Linked DNA regions of Lonchura striata. The protein of the gene in region 1 purifies or fractionates together with the protein of each later gene. This does not show direct contact. Links are inferred from orthologs where the notes say so. Each region holds a gene or a part of one and is shown on either strand. Other genes may lie near its edges.

Region 1 (7,500 bases):
GTATAGTTTTTTCAAACTCCAGAGAGGTGAAGCTCTTGGTGAGGTAGAAATCAGCTCGATCCCAAAGGTTTTCATAACACCAAGGGATGCTTGCAGAGGCCAGTGATACTGAAGGGCAGACAGTGCTAATGTGTGAGGCCAGGCACAAACAAGTGGCAGCAATGCCATTCACTGAGAGCAGGACTGAGCTCTAGGCCATACCCAAAGGCAAAACCAAGGCAATGTTTTGCTTTGGGCTTGCCCTCAGCCTGGATCAGCCCCACACGAGGCTTCCTCTCGCCCAAAAACAAGGTGGTTTGAGGCAGGATGGACTCAGCTGGAGCCTAAGGGTTTGCTCAAGGCCTCAGAGCCCTCCCTGCCTGAAAGCACACACCAAGGCACCAGTTCTCCTCCACAGCCCTCCCCTCTGTTAGACAAGAGCTACAAAACTCACGAGGAGAGCATCAGGGGCCAGCTGATCCTGACATGACACAGAAACCTGGGATGGAGGCAGGTTGTGCTGCATCCCTCCTGCTTTTCCACGCTGTCTCAGGCAGCATAAAAGTCCTTCTTCCTTGTGTTCCTTTTAGGGAGCAGAGGGATGGGGGACTTCCACTGTGGCTAATGCCCTCTTTTCCTTCCCACATGATAGTCCTCACTCCCCTGAGGGACCCACCAGCCCTGCACCCTCGGTTTTGGGTGCTGAGCTGCTGGTGCCAAGAACAGAAAAGAGGCATTGAATCACTTGGTGTAGAGAGGCAAAACAAATTTGGACACCCCACTGATATTTTCCAAACATTTCTGGGCCCCACTGGGATGAAACCCATTGACTTCAGTGGGCTTTGGATGATTTCCTACATACACAAAAGTTGAAAAATCATGCTTTAAAAGAAATGCTGAAGTCAAATTGGGAAATTTTAATGATTGTCTTTGTATTTTAATTTGGTGGCTGTATGCTGACAATATAATTAGGGAGATGCTATGTTAATTAATGCCAGATGACATTAGTGGGATGGCAAAAGCATCCAGTTTTGTAAAGAATAGTTCACAGTTGAGTTGTTCCTTTCTCCCCACACCATTTTTAGTAGAGAACTATATTCAAAAAGTCAGAGATGGCTGAATTAAACCAAAAGTCAAACCATTCACAAATACCATGTATCTTAGCATGTTATTTTTAAGCCAAATCTAATGTTATTGCAGAAAAATGCATTAGCCATGTTTTCTTTAGTGCCTACGTGTTTAAAAAAAGAAAGAAGGTTTGCAGGACCTCGTGCTATTCTTGTGTTTGAAGCAGGTAGTGGCCAACCAAGTTGCCACTGAAGCAAATGGAGCAGGACCTAGGCTTGTGCTTTACACAGCTGAGGGTTTGAAATGTGATTTTTGGGTTTGTGTTTGTGGATTTCTTGGGGTCCATCCAATAATTTGAAAAAGAATTGCAATGATGGAGCAATACACATTCACGTTCAGCGTGAGCCCAGACATGCTGTATTCATATTCTGGGTGAGTTCAGCTGCTTTACACTTCAATCTATACATGTAAAATTACTGGAGCCCCCCAGACCACTCCAGGAAATTTGACAGGGCATTAAAGTCACTATCTCATGAGAACTATAGCCTTTATTTTAATATAAGCCCATATATTCCAAATTGCACATATAGATATTTATCTATGGATGCAAATATTTATATGTTTAAGTCGACTGTATAAATGTCTTGTAGATCCTGTCTTGAGTAGAGTTAGCGAGTTAAAAGTCTTGGGGAATATAATTGTATCCTGCTGTGTCAGCAGACAAAAAATTGCAAGCACATTTGTACTGTTCTAAATAGAACTTAAAATGAAAAAATCTTCTGTAGGTGATCTCAACAAGAGAGCAGCAGAAGGAAGTTGGCAGTACTTCCTTAAAAGTCTTAATTTTCCTGGGGGGGAGAAGAGGCAAAGGTAGAACCTCAAGGCTAGCATATCCCAAATGGAGGTATCACTACCACCCTTGGCCTATCTAAAAAAAAAATTCCTTTTACTAATATTCCTAATTCACAGCAGGCAAACCTGAAGCTGCACAAAACCCACTCACCCTTCTGTGCTAACACTACACTAGCTTTGCATCTGCTTTGCATAGAGTTCAATGCCAGGAAAATCCACAGGAAAATTAACTCTTGTCCCAGCTTGTCTGATGCTCTCTGCTAACAAGGAAAGCTTATTATTCATCCCCAGGCTGGAGCTGAATTTTACATGTCCTGCCCCCCCAGCCCGCCACTGCTGACAGGTGAGGAATGCTCCTATAGTCTCAAAGTGAAAATGTCTGAATTTATTGCATCATGTTTAGGAACAGGCAAATCTGTGGGATTGTACTTGGCCTAGTGCTCGATATCATAAGGGAGGCATCTTGTTGGAGAAAGGAGCTGTGACTGGTGCTGTCCTCAACGTTCCATACCTGTAGAGGATCCAGAAGACAGGGACTGGAATATTTTATTGCCATTGTGAAGAAACCTTTGAATTGAAAATATACTTTAACTTAACAGGAGTATGTAGCTGCACACTGAAGTGTTCTGGGATCTGAGGGTGTGCATTGTCTTTGCACGTGTTCAGAATCCTCTGTGCAAATTACCCCAGAGAAACAGTCACTAAAATGAAGATGGAAACTTCCACAGAATCTAAGAGGTTTTCCGTCACTTGTGCTGACTATCACCAGCTTTCATATCAATGCAGTGAATGGGCTGGCACTTAATGTTCTTGATCAGCTCATTTATTTGATCTGTTTTCAAACCACTCTACACATGAGCATGAGAAGATATTTTCAAATTAAATGCAAATACAGCAAAAAGCAGTTTCGTAATAGATATTTATAAACAAAATCTGTGCACAAGAAAAGCAGCTTTGCATTCTGCTTTTTCCAGAATTCTAACAATTCATTTTCCCTCCTCGTGACACGCAAGAGGATTGTTTGCACATTTCACTGAGATCCTATGGAGATAGGACAGCACAAGCTGTCATCAGGACCTGAAGTTTTTACGGAGAAGGTTCTGCCAACAGCAGCTGCTCTCCGGATACTCTTCTGATCCCAGCTGTGGCTGTGTGGGTTCAGGCTTTCCCACATCCCAAGCTTGTGGTTTTACCACCAGGCTACTTGTTCTTTGAAAGCAAGTCTGACTTTCGGGTTTTACATCTGCTCATGTGAGGCAGCCTAATTAATAACCCTGATTTGTGAGATGATCTCATGTTACTCTGTCACATGGATTTTTGTGAGGGTTTGGATTTTTTTTTATTATTGCGGCTATTGGGAAACAACCAAATAACCTTTAACACAAAAACTACTAGGTTACTGACACCTAAATTTGTGGGAGGGGTGAAATGGGGATCATAAAGAGTTTCCTATCCCTGGCAGTGTCCAAGGCAAGGTTGGATGAGACTTGGAGCACCCTGGGATAGTGAAAGGTGTCCCTGCCCATGGCAGGGGGTGGGACTGGATGATCTTTAAGGTCCCTTCCAACTCAGGCCAGTCTATGATTCTCTATTTCAGTTACAGGGAGTTATGATTTTAGCCTTTTAGTACGAAATTATGGTTTTCTGTGCATCTGTTAACTTGTTAAAAAACCCCAAACAGAGCGTTTATTAATTTCATTCAGATCTAAAAATCAAACCTTGCATTTTATTTTGAAAGCTGACCACCTTTATTTGGTTCGATAATGGATAAAACTGCTCCTCACGTGTAACCAGGCGATGCCTGTCCGGGCAGCCCAGACATCCCCTCAGGATGAGCCTGTCCTGGGCTTTATGGTGGCTCTTGTGCCTCTTCCCCTCCAGGTCCCCACGGGCACTGAGGGAAGGGGGAAACAGTGAGGAAATGCTGGAATTGTGCACATTTCCCTTCACCGCCCTCCAGCACGCACTTCCCGGACGGATCCTTCCCAAAGGTCTCCTCCAAGCCTCTCCCCGATGGACGGGCCCTCACTGGGGCGCCTGGTGCCGCCTCCCTGCTCCAGCAGGGCCATCCCGGAGCACAGGACACTGGATCGTGTCTAGACGGCTCGGGAATACCCCCCGAGAAGGAAATTCCCAGCCTCTCAGGGCAACCTGTGGGAGTGGTTTTTCCTCCTGTGCAGATGGAACTTCTGGGATCACTCCCTGTTCCTCTGGTGCCATTGCTGCGCCCTCAGAGCAGAGCCTGGGCCCTGCTCGGAGCCCTCCCTGCAGCCAGCGCTGAGGGCCCCTGTCGAGGCTGACCAGCCCCAGCTCCCTCAGCCTTCCCAGTCCCTATAAGATCTCGGCTCCATGAGCTCGCAGGCTCCCTCCCGCCGAGGATCCCAGCGCTGCGCACGGCAGTGGCCGGACGCCGCCTCGAACCCGCGGCCCGCGCTCGGCAGCGGCAGGGCGGTGCCGGCGCTGCCGCAAGGGGCGCTGGAGCGCCGAGCGCATCGATCGCGACCGTCCATCCGCGCATCGGTGCTCGGCTCCCTGGGCAGCGCCCGCCCAGCCCTGCCCGTCCCCCGCCATTTCGCACCGGGACGGGAAGGGAAGGGACCCGGAGCGGGAAGGGAAAGCTGAGGGGAGGAAGGGACGCGACTCGGGCACGGCGGGTGCCGGGAGCTCCCGCGGCACGGCCAGCCAGGTACCGCCTCTCCCCACCCCGCCGAGCCGGGGCGTCCCTCTTCCTTCCTCGCTTTCCCTTCAAGGTGGGAAGCGCAGTCGGCGCCCCTTTCCTCCGCTGTCGCCGTTCCCCTCCCGTCCCTTTCCCTCTCTTCTCTCCCGCTGCTCCCGCCGGCATCCCCCGGAGCCGCATTCCCGCTCCTTCCCGGCGGGAGGGGACAGGTGGCCAACGCCCTGCGGGACCCGCCGCTCGCCCGAGACATCCCCCAGCCCTCACGGATTTATTTTTTTTCCCCCTCAGCCCTTCTCGCAAATCCTTAAACCCGGAAAGTTGTGGCGGCGCGGGCGCGGCGCTGGCGGGGGCAGAGGGAGCCGGGGCGGGGCGGGCGATGCCCCGGGAGCCGCGGGGGTCCCGCAGGCGCGGCTCGCCCGGCAATTAAAAATTGATGGAACCCACCCTGAACAGCGCAGGGGAAGCCGGCGGGGGAAGCCGTGCTCGCCGTGTCTCCTGTCCGGACGCGGGAGGCGCGTTCCCGGCTGTGAGCTTCATCCCGAGGGCGGCTGGGACGCTCCGGGAAACCCGGGCGGGCTCGGCGAGGCGCCGGGAACTAAATCCCCGCACGGGTTAATTCCCTGCACGAAATACTCTTTGGACTTTTCCTGGAATTCAGTGCCTTTTAAATTTATTTAGTGTGGTGGGTTTTTTTTGTTTTTGGGTTTTTTTTTGTGTTTTTTTTTTGTTTTGTTTTGTTTTTGTGTTTTGTTTTTTTTTTTTTTACTTATTTCGTGTTCTTTTAAATCTCGGTGTGACCGCTGCCTGTCGGCCGAGTGCCCGCTCTACATTCCCTGTGTGTGTAATGTTGGAGGAACAGCATTCCCTCATCCCTTTTTGTCTTGTCTTGCAGGGAGGGAGCTGCTTCCCGGTAATAGTAGAGGATCCTGACGCTGAATGAGAAAGCACCGGCAGCATCCTCGTTGCCCAGCTCTGCTTAATGTTGGTTTCTTTGTCATCAGGTCTGCTAAAAAATGACAGAGTATAAACTTGTGGTGGTTGGAGCTGGTGGTGTAGGCAAGAGCGCCTTGACAATACAGCTAATCCAGAATCACTTTGTGGATGAATATGACCCCACAATAGAGGTAAACACTTCCGTCTCATACTTTTTGTGAGGGGAGATTATCAGTGCATAATGGTGCTTGTATCCTTTTGGGTACTTACCACAAGGACAGGGCTTTATAGTAAAAAGAGCTCAGAGATAATGTTCTGCATTGGAGACAGAATTGCTGTGCTTTTTGATCTGGCTGTGGAACAACAGCTGCAGTAATAAATTGGCAGTTTTGATCAATTAAAGGCATGGTGTTAATTGCTATGTATCCTTGGGCAGTGTGGATGCGTGTGTTTAGGATCTCTATGACGAAGTATTTGCAAACTCACTTGAAAATGCTTGGTGAAACTCTGCATAGCTTTGTGCAACCTCTTTAATGGGACATTTTTTCTTTGATAAGAAGGAAAATTAGTGGTTATGAAATGTGTGTGCCAGTCTTTCTCAGCTCCTATCACTGAGATATGTTTCACACGGGGGGAAATGTGTCCTAGGATGTTGCAGTGAATGAAGCAAAAATTGGAGCCTGTTCTGTTTTGGTTTTTCACTCTTTAAACACACCAGTACGTGTTTTCCTATCTAGAGAAGATGTTATAAGATAGCTTCTGGAATGGGTTCTTTGAAATACATGGCTCAGTACCTCAAAGTTTGAAATTGTATATAATCTTAGAAGTTGTGCTGTTTTGAAGGTTTATAATGAGCAGGCAAGCTTTGCCTTTTAAATACAAGGAAAATACTGGTGTTGTCTGAAATCTCCTGTGGATCATTGCATTTAACAACCTCAGACTCTATAAAAGGAGAAATGACACCATAACTTACCCCAGGTTTTTATGTTCCCAGCACTGAAGCTCTGCATCTCATGACTTCATTTATATGTTTATCCAGCAAGGCACTTCCAGGCTCACTTGAAGGAATCACAAGGGTTTAAATCTGGGCTTAAAATGGAGACTTGGGAAGTGTGTAGGTAGTGATTTTCAGGGAGACATAAGCAGGAGGAGCCAGTGCCCTGAGGTAGCACAAATTTAGTGAGGGCCTGAGCTCAAGCAGAGATGTGTTGACTTGAGGTTCTTTCCATGTGTCTTCTTGTCTGTCTCTTGCATGGCCAAATAACATCTTTCTTGCAGGAGGTTTTGTGACTAGACCTGTGCAGAAAACTCTGTTTGACTTACACCAGCAGAGCAGCTCTTTCTACACTAAGATAGAAAGTCTTAACAACCCCAAACACTCTTTAAAATCACACCAAACTTGCTGAGAAGAACAAGCCAAATGGGTTTTTACTTTTTCCTGCAAAAGGACCTTTGGAGGCTGTTGGTCTTTGATGCTTTTTCATAATTACCTGGGTTTCTCTTAGGTTAGAGGTGTATTTTAAGCACTGCAGAAAGTGCTGTGCCGGTTCCATTTTATAAATTGTCACTGTGTAAACAATTTGGGAACACAGAAGCTTAAATGCCAGTATTCCTGGAGCACTTAAGGGATTTTGCTATTCCACCAACTGAGTGATTTGAAGGGCATTAAATACATTTTTAATGTAAAGTAATAAAATGGAAATACAGTTACTTAGAGAATGAACCTGAAAATCCTAGGACTGTGTCTTTATTAATGGAATTATAGGCTGGTTTGAGTTGGAGGGGACCTTAAAGATCATTTTGTTCCCATGGGCAGGGACACCTTCCACAAGACCAGGGTGCTCCAGGCCCTGTCCAACCTGGCCTTGGCCATTTTCAGGGATGGGGCAGCCACAAATTCAGTGCTGTGGTCCGGAATCCCTGTGTTCTTTAAGAATTACACCAAGTTAACCTAATAGGTTTCTCCAGCTTGTCACATGTAGCGACTTTCT
Region 2 (7,573 bases), on another chromosome or scaffold:
TACCCTTTTCAGAAGTTTTTGCACCTGTAACTAAAGCAAGGTGCCAGGCTGGGAATGCTTGTGGTGCTGCTGTTTTTTTACACAACATGCTCCCTATGAACCACACAATTACACTCTGCCTGAGGTGTTGATTTGGGTAGGACTGAGCCTTCCAAAAGTCTAATAATATCTCATTGAAAGGATGTAAATAAAAATCTTTGCTTCTGTGTGTATCTCAGAGTGATGTGGGAAATTATAGTTGGATCCCTTGTATTCCCAACTGTTCCCATCTATTCACAGTTAGAAAAATCTGGGTGAAATGTGTGTGTAGCTAAGGTGATGTTATTACAATTTTCAATGTGAATGCAGAATTCAGCAGTCCGCATGAAATTTCAAAATGCTTTCTGTCTGCTGAAAGGTCAAACTAAATCTAAGTCTAGAGCATTGTACTATACAAAAAAATACTTAAACTCATTAAAAATTGTGATGTACATAAATTGCTTAAGAAAATAATCGATGCCTGCCAAGAGTGGAAGCCACAGATGTAACTAAAGATGTTGAAACTAGTTAAAAAGATATGACTTTGTGTTTATATGAGGGTTTAGATAAAACATTTATAACTTAATAACTACTTCTGAATTCATGATGTTTTTCCATTGCCCTTCATGCTCTTTTCCAAAACTTAATTATTAATTTTCAGTCTTGGCAGTTTGGACCCATTAAATAGCATGACAAAGTTATGTTTCTTGAATGACAAAATGGATATAAAAAATTCCTTAATAGTTTATTTTGCATCAGCTTTTACTAAGAATATATGGTAACACAGGAAGTCGTGTTGGAAAGGGACTGCTCAGACTTCTGGTTTTCAATCTCTTAAGCAGCAATGCCCTCCTGTGGACTCTGGCTAGAACGATTTCTTCTGAATAACCAGAAAGGTGTATGCATGAACATGATTTGGTTTTCCTTCTTCCTAACGCACTAATTAAAATGTCCCATTAAGATATTTGATTTAATTGGCATTATTTGGCTAATGTGTCTGATTTGAGAAACACATCTTCTTTTGGTAATGATACAGGTGGAGCTGAAAAAGCACCTAACTTTAGAAACTTTGGCTGCTGATTTTTTTTTTATTCTATAGGTTGCTAGTAGAGCTGAAAAAAATGTCATGCTGCAATTGCCTTGTTGGAAAGTGAAAAGTGTGTATTCCTATTGCATTATACTTTCCTAAGAATTTTTATATCCATAGGATGGTATTATGCATTTACTAGTTTACAGGAAGAAGCAGTTTAAAAATTCTGTGGGGAAGCTGCTGTGGCAGCTGGAGTGTTTCTGGTTTACATCTCACACACGGGAGACTCATCTTTGGTTCTGCACTCACACTGTGGCAGCACCTGTGTCTCGTTGGCTCATGTAGCTTGAAGGAAAAGCTCATTTCAGGAGCAGAGAAAGGCACCTTTCCTGGGAATGTGTGTGCCAAGTGATTTGCTGCACAGCTCGGGTGACTGGTGCCTCAGCAGGCGTGAATCCAACAGTGACTGGAGAGGTCCGGTTGGAGCCTCCGAGGATGACCTGGGAGGAAGGAAGGTCTCTGGGGGCTGCAGGAGAAGCTGATGTGCATCCCAGAGCCTGGGGCTGTGTCAGGGCACATGGACGTGTGCAGGAGAAGCTGATGTGCATCCCAGAGCCCGGGGCTGTGTCAGGGCACATGGACGTGTGCAGGAGAAGCTGATGTGCATCCCAGAGCCCGGGGATGTGCCAGGGCACAAGGATGTGTGCAGGAGAAGCTGATGTGCATCCCAGAGCCTGGGGCTGTGTCAGGGCACATGGATGTGTGCAGGAGAAGCTGATGTGCATCCCAGAGCCCGGGGCTGTGTCAGGGCACATGGACGTGTGCAGGCTCTCAGCCCTGCCAGGGCAGGGACTGAACTCAGAGCAGGCTTTGAGCGGAGGTGTGAATGAACAACACGAGCTCACTCCAGCAGCTGGGAAAGGTGGGGACACCGGGCCAAGTGCAGTTTGGCCTTTGTGCATTTTCAGAGGAGACATTTCCACCTGCATGACATGGGTATGTGTGTCTTAAAGGTGTTTTCCTTTCATTAATCAACCAGCTAGAAGTGTAAATGAAGAGGAAGAATTTGGGCTACACCTGAATTGAGTCAGTGGCTGATTTTTCCTACTGATTTATTCACACCTTAAGGACCCTCATCTCCTCGTGATGCAAGCTGCAGCTTTTTTCTTTGATCTGTTCCTTGGCTTACTTGTCTGGCTTTCAGGGAGAGAAAGTGTGGTGTAAACAAACTTTGATTTGTTATCTGTTGAGGTCATAATTAGCTCATCTTAATTTTTCATCCTTTTTGCTCTAAATTACTATAGGTCTACAAAACTCCCATGGATTATTTTCCACATGACACATACTAATTTATCTTGTGAAGGGCCATACAGATCTTACAATAACTAGTAGGCAAAATAGTTTTGTATTTCCTGTAATTTATGTGCAGCTTGCAGACAGCCTCTGGGAAGATTTTTATTTAATACAGTAGGATATGTTTGTTTATTTTAAAACCAGAGATATTTCAGTGGCATTATGGGATATTCTTTTTCTTAAACTATATAAAGTGATGGTGTCAGTTCATGCATTGAGATAAATGGATCTAAAGCCATGACAACTTTCCTTGTGATTGTCAAACATAGTTATTTAATAAGTTACTCTTACTATAGACTTGGCTATAGCATAAAAAAATCCAATCTGAGTAAAATCAGATTACTGTACTGCAAGTATCAATGCTACAGGTTAATGAGGATCATAGCCTGTGAGACAAAAGCATGTTCAGCCTCTCTGGAGTTCCTCTGGGGCTGTGGTTAACCAACCTTCCAGCACGGTCAGTGTTCTTCTTGTGTCTGTGTCTCCAAGGGAGCATTTCCAATTGATCATCATCAGGGGGATGCTGCAGTTCTGCTTCCTCCCTCCTGCCAGCACCAGCAGATCATGCAAAAAATGTTTCAGAAAGCTGAGGCAGCTGAAAACCAGTTCCTTTGTCATGATAAAACCATTTATGACTGTCTCAGTTCTCTTATGTGGATGCTGTGTGTTTGCAGAAGCATCAAGGTTGGCACATGGGAAAAGGCAGGATCAGTTCAGGGAACTGTGGAACTACATCCTGACAGTGCCTAATGCAGAACAACAGTCATTCTTAGCTCCCGCTTAATTTTAACATAAACCCTAGTGACTGTAAGACCAAAAAAAGAATCTTTCTAATGAAAAATTCACTTAAGTTGAAAGTAATGCTGCAGTCTTCATGACAGCAATGTTTAATGCACTATCAAAGTAAGAGGGGAAAAAAAAGGAAAATTGTCTCACTATTTGTCATTCCACAGGGCTTGCACACTCTTGAACAGCTCTAATAATTTCGCTGAGAAAATACCTCATTTTCAGAGCTAAGGAGAGATCTAAGGGTGCGTAGGCTGTGATAGGGTTGGAAAGAGAAAGCAGGGGAGGAAACAGTAGCAGGAATAGTGAGAAGGAATCACAAAAATGTGTAAGTTGGACAAGCCCTTCAAGATGATCGACTCGAACCCTTCCTGCGGCACTGCCAAAGCCACCGCTGAACCGTGACCCCAAGCGCGACATCCGCGCTGTCTTTTAAACCCTCCAGAGATGCGACTCCACCTGGCAGCTTGCTTTCGGTGAAGAATTCTTCCCTGATATCCAACTAAACCTTCTCTGTCACACCCGGAGGCCGCTCCTCGCATCCCGTGCGCTGGGAGCGGTTACCAAGGCGAAGGCGGCACGAAGGAGGGAAGCGCCATCGCTGCGGGGAGCGGAGGGCGGGCGAGGGCCGAGCCCAGGGCCGCAGCCGGGCCGTGCCCGCCGGGTGCCGCCGGCAGCGTCCGTACCCACGGGGCGCGGCCAAGGGGCGGGCCGGGCTCCGCTTCACGGGAGCGCGAGGCAACGGCACAAACAGAAGCACGGCGAGTTCCACGTGAACGCGAGGGAGAACTTTAGAGCGCAGAGTGCTGGCAGGCCGGGATGCGGGGTGTGGCTCGCCGGGGCTCTCCCGTCCCGGGGCCGGGGCCGCGCTCTGAGGGCGGCCCGAGCCCCGCGCGCCCAACGGTCCCCGCCGTTCAAACGCTCCCGCGCGCCCCGCCCCCCGAGGGGCGGGGCCAACGGAGAGGGAGCGCGCGCCGGGACGCGGGCGGCGTCCCATTGGCTGCCGGCCGCGGGCCCGGCGCATTGACGTACTGCCCCGCCCCTCCGCCCGGCGCGCGCCGAACGCGTCCCGCGTTCCTATTGGCTGCCCGCCGCGTCCGTCCCCGGCGAACCTCGGGACTTTTGCGGAGGTCGCGCCCTTTCATTGGTTGCCGCACACGTCCATCGCGGCCTAAGCCACGCCCCTTAGGCGTGAGTGGCGGGCGCCGCCGGCGCGTCGCTCTCATTGGCTGCGGCGGCGGCGGAGGCCGGCCCGGGGGGCGGGGCTCCCGGCGGCCCCTTTGTGTGGGCACCAGTCGCCGGCCGCGCTCCCGAGAAGCCGCTGCCGCCATTTTGTGCGCGCCTGTGTTCGCGCCCACCCCCGCCCGCCTTCCCGGGGCAGCGGCGGCACCGGGGACGCCCCGACTGTGCTGCCGGTCAGGTGAGGCGGAGCGGAGGCGCCGGGCCGCGCCGAGCGAGCTACCGCCGGCGGCCGCCGCAGCCGCGAAGAGGTCGCGTTGCTCGCAGGGGAAAGAAGCGGCAAGACGGAGCAGGGGGGGAAAAAACCTCCGGAGCTGCCCCCGAACAGGAGGAGGAGTTTCGGCGCCAGGCCCAGGCGCGGCACCGGAGGCAGCATGGAGAACTCGCAGCTGTGCAAGCTGTTCATCGGCGGGCTGAACGTGCAGACCACGGAGGCCGGGCTGCGGGAGCACTTCGCGGCCTACGGCACCCTCACCGACTGCGTGGTCGTGCTCAACCCGCAGACCAAGCGCTCCCGGTGCTTCGGCTTCGTCACCTACTCGGCGGTGGAGGAGGCGGACGCCGCCATGGCCGCGTCGCCCCACGCGGTGGACGGGAATGCGGTGGAGCTGAAGCGGGCCGTGTCCCGGGAGGACTCGGCCAAGCCCGGCGCTCACGCCAAGGTGAAGAAGCTCTTCGTGGGCGGCCTCAAAGGGGACGTGGGCGAAGGGGACCTGGTGCAGCACTTCAGCCAGTTCGGCCCCGTGGAGAAGGCCGAGATCATCGCCGACAAACAGAGCGGGAAAAAGCGCGGCTTCGGTTTCGTCTACTTCCAGAACCACGACGCGGCCGATAAGGCGGCCGTGGTCAAGTTCCACCCGATCCAGGGCCACCGAGTGGAGGTCAAGAAGGCCGTGCCCAAGGAGGACATCCAGGCGGGCGGGGGGGGCGGCGGCTCTTCCAGGCCCTCCCGGGGAGGCAGAGGAGGAAGGGGCCGGGGCGGCGGCGGCTCCGGCAACCGGGATCACAACGGGCTTTCCAAAGGAGGCGGCGGCTACAACAGCTACGGCGGCTACGGCGGGGGAGGAGGCGGCGGGTACGGCTCCTATGGCAGCGGTTCCTACGGAGGCGGCGGCGGAGGGGGAGGCGGAGACTACGGCAACGGGTACGGCGGGTTCGGCAGCTACAGCCAGCACCAGTCCTCCTACGGCCCCATGAAGAGCGGCGGAGGAGGTGGAGGAGGGGGCGGCAGCTGGGGGGGCCGCAGTAACAGTGGACCGTACAGAGGAGGCTATGGTGGGGGAGGCTACGGGGGCGGCTCTTTCTGAGCTGGAGCGCTCATACCCATTGATGGGGGGGCGTGGAGAGCCCTCCCTTCGATACGGGGCAGCTTCTAAATGGTTTCTCCCCTCATTCGCCGAAGGGCAGCTCCTTTTAAATGCCTCCCTTCCGTGGGAGCGGCTCCTAAATGCCCCCTGAGGGTCGCCTCTGCTGCCTGTGCCACTTCTTTCTCTCTGAAGATGGACTGGGCCCCACATACACATATTTTGTGTTACAGTCATTGATGGACTCTATTTTTTTATTATTACTTGGACCTTGGTCGTTTTTATACTAGCAACGAAAAATGTCTTGTTTTAATTTGTTTTTTGGGGGGTGCGGGGTGGGAAGTGTCTTGCTGATCTGGAGTAAAAACCGGGGAGGCTGGGGGGAAGTTCCTTTGTTGTAAGGACTCGATGCCTGGATACTACGTTTTTTTCTACAAAAGCTACTCGGATCCCATGACTGACTTTTAACATTTCTGTAAAGGAGGAAAAAATGGTTTTTACGTTTTTTATTTTTTAAATAAATCATTGTGTTCATTGACCTTTATACGTCTAATTCTTTTTCCTAGGATCAATTCCGCACGGTTTTAAGGCTTTTCTAGGTTTGAAGCAAGTGTTCCTCTGCTTTAAAATCTCAGTGTACTTAGAGTAGTAAATATTTTGTTGCCAGTAAAGGTCCTAACTGACTTTTTTGCTAGTGGCTTTCAAACACTCGACAGAGAAATTTTTGAAGTACTAATCCGTGGATGTGTTCTGTTTTTTAAATACTCGTTCTCACTTTGGCAGTTTGTGTGCATCCACCATCTTGTACTAGACAGTTTGACGTGCTGACATGGTTGGTCAGTTTTTTCTGTAGGACTTTTCCATCAACGTATGTATTGTGTAGTTTTGAAGAAATAGTTTGTGTTAAGCATGTGCTTCATTCATATAAAATGTTCAGAATTTCTTATTGCTTAGTTTTCAAGTCCTTGGTTTGTCTCTGTGTGATTCCTTCCAGGAAAGGGTCGACATTTATCCCTTCTATTAAAGGCATACTTGTTTTCCTAGCCCCGGGTTAACAGATTTCACTCGGAACTATTGTTCTTCCTGAAAGTTCCCTGAGAACTCTGGCAGCTCCATCTGCTGTCAGGATGGCAGCCCCGTGCTGTGGGCTTCCTTAAAGCAGGAGTAAAACTGGCTTGCTGACAATTGTACCAACCTTTGGAAAGTTATTTTTATGCCACTAGATGACTGGTGTAGAATACAGTGACATCTGCACGTGAATAAAGATGGGGTCCCTGACTACTGATTGGGTGGGGGTGGAAAAAGGAATGGATTTGCAATACCTGCCTCAGCACGTAATTTAACAAATAATAATTGCAGTTGACCATATTTCAGAAAGTGGTGATCTAAACTGGGCAAAGAGCTCTGAGAAGTGAGCCAGCAAGTGTACAAGTAACATAGGTGCCAGTTGTAAAGCAAAGATATCTGTGTAGTCTGCTTGATTTAAAAAATGTATATTTGTAGCCCTTTCACGCAATAGAATTAAAGTTTGTTGTTTATTAAAAAGCATAATGTTTTAGGGGAAAACTGCCTTCCTGCATAGAAATATAGATTAGCAACGTTTATGGGTTTATGGATATCAAATAAAAGATTTGAATTCCTTATATGCTTGAGTGAGAGTATATATGATGTGGGGCATGCATTTAAAAAGTACAAAGTTATTTTGACTTCAGGTTTCTAAGCTCTTGGAATGCTGATGTTTTGTGGGACTGCATCATAAAAGCTGCTTTTTGCTTTCCTCCAGATATGCAAGATATTAGGCATATAATTCCCACTGATTACACTGAAAAATTAAATGTGTAGG

What was found. Proteins that work in one complex are often made in the same cells at the same time.
Region 2: the proteins of KRAS (region 1) and HNRNPA0 purify together in Homo sapiens (affinity purification with mass spectrometry; 3 studies listed by BioGRID and IntAct, with this or other methods). This does not show direct contact. The link is inferred for Lonchura striata from reciprocal best matches to the Homo sapiens genes KRAS and HNRNPA0.

Annotation. Positions count from the first base shown.
Region 1 is NC_134607.1:735,779-743,278, reverse strand, and holds the start of KRAS (GTPase KRas), read left to right. Parts: upstream 1-4,421; 5' UTR 4,422-4,585; intron 4,586-5,468; 5' UTR 5,469-5,486; exon of another isoform or gene 5,487-5,577; 5' UTR 5,578-5,589; coding exon 5,590-5,700; intron 5,701-7,500. UniProt on the Homo sapiens protein: Ras proteins bind GDP/GTP and possess intrinsic GTPase activity. Plays an important role in the regulation of cell proliferation.
Region 2 is NC_134617.1:7,823,765-7,831,337, forward strand, and holds the start of HNRNPA0 (heterogeneous nuclear ribonucleoprotein A0), read left to right. Parts: upstream 1-4,475; 5' UTR 4,476-4,800; coding exon 4,801-5,733; 3' UTR 5,734-7,573. UniProt on the Homo sapiens protein: mRNA-binding component of ribonucleosomes. Specifically binds AU-rich element (ARE)-containing mRNAs. Involved in post-transcriptional regulation of cytokines mRNAs.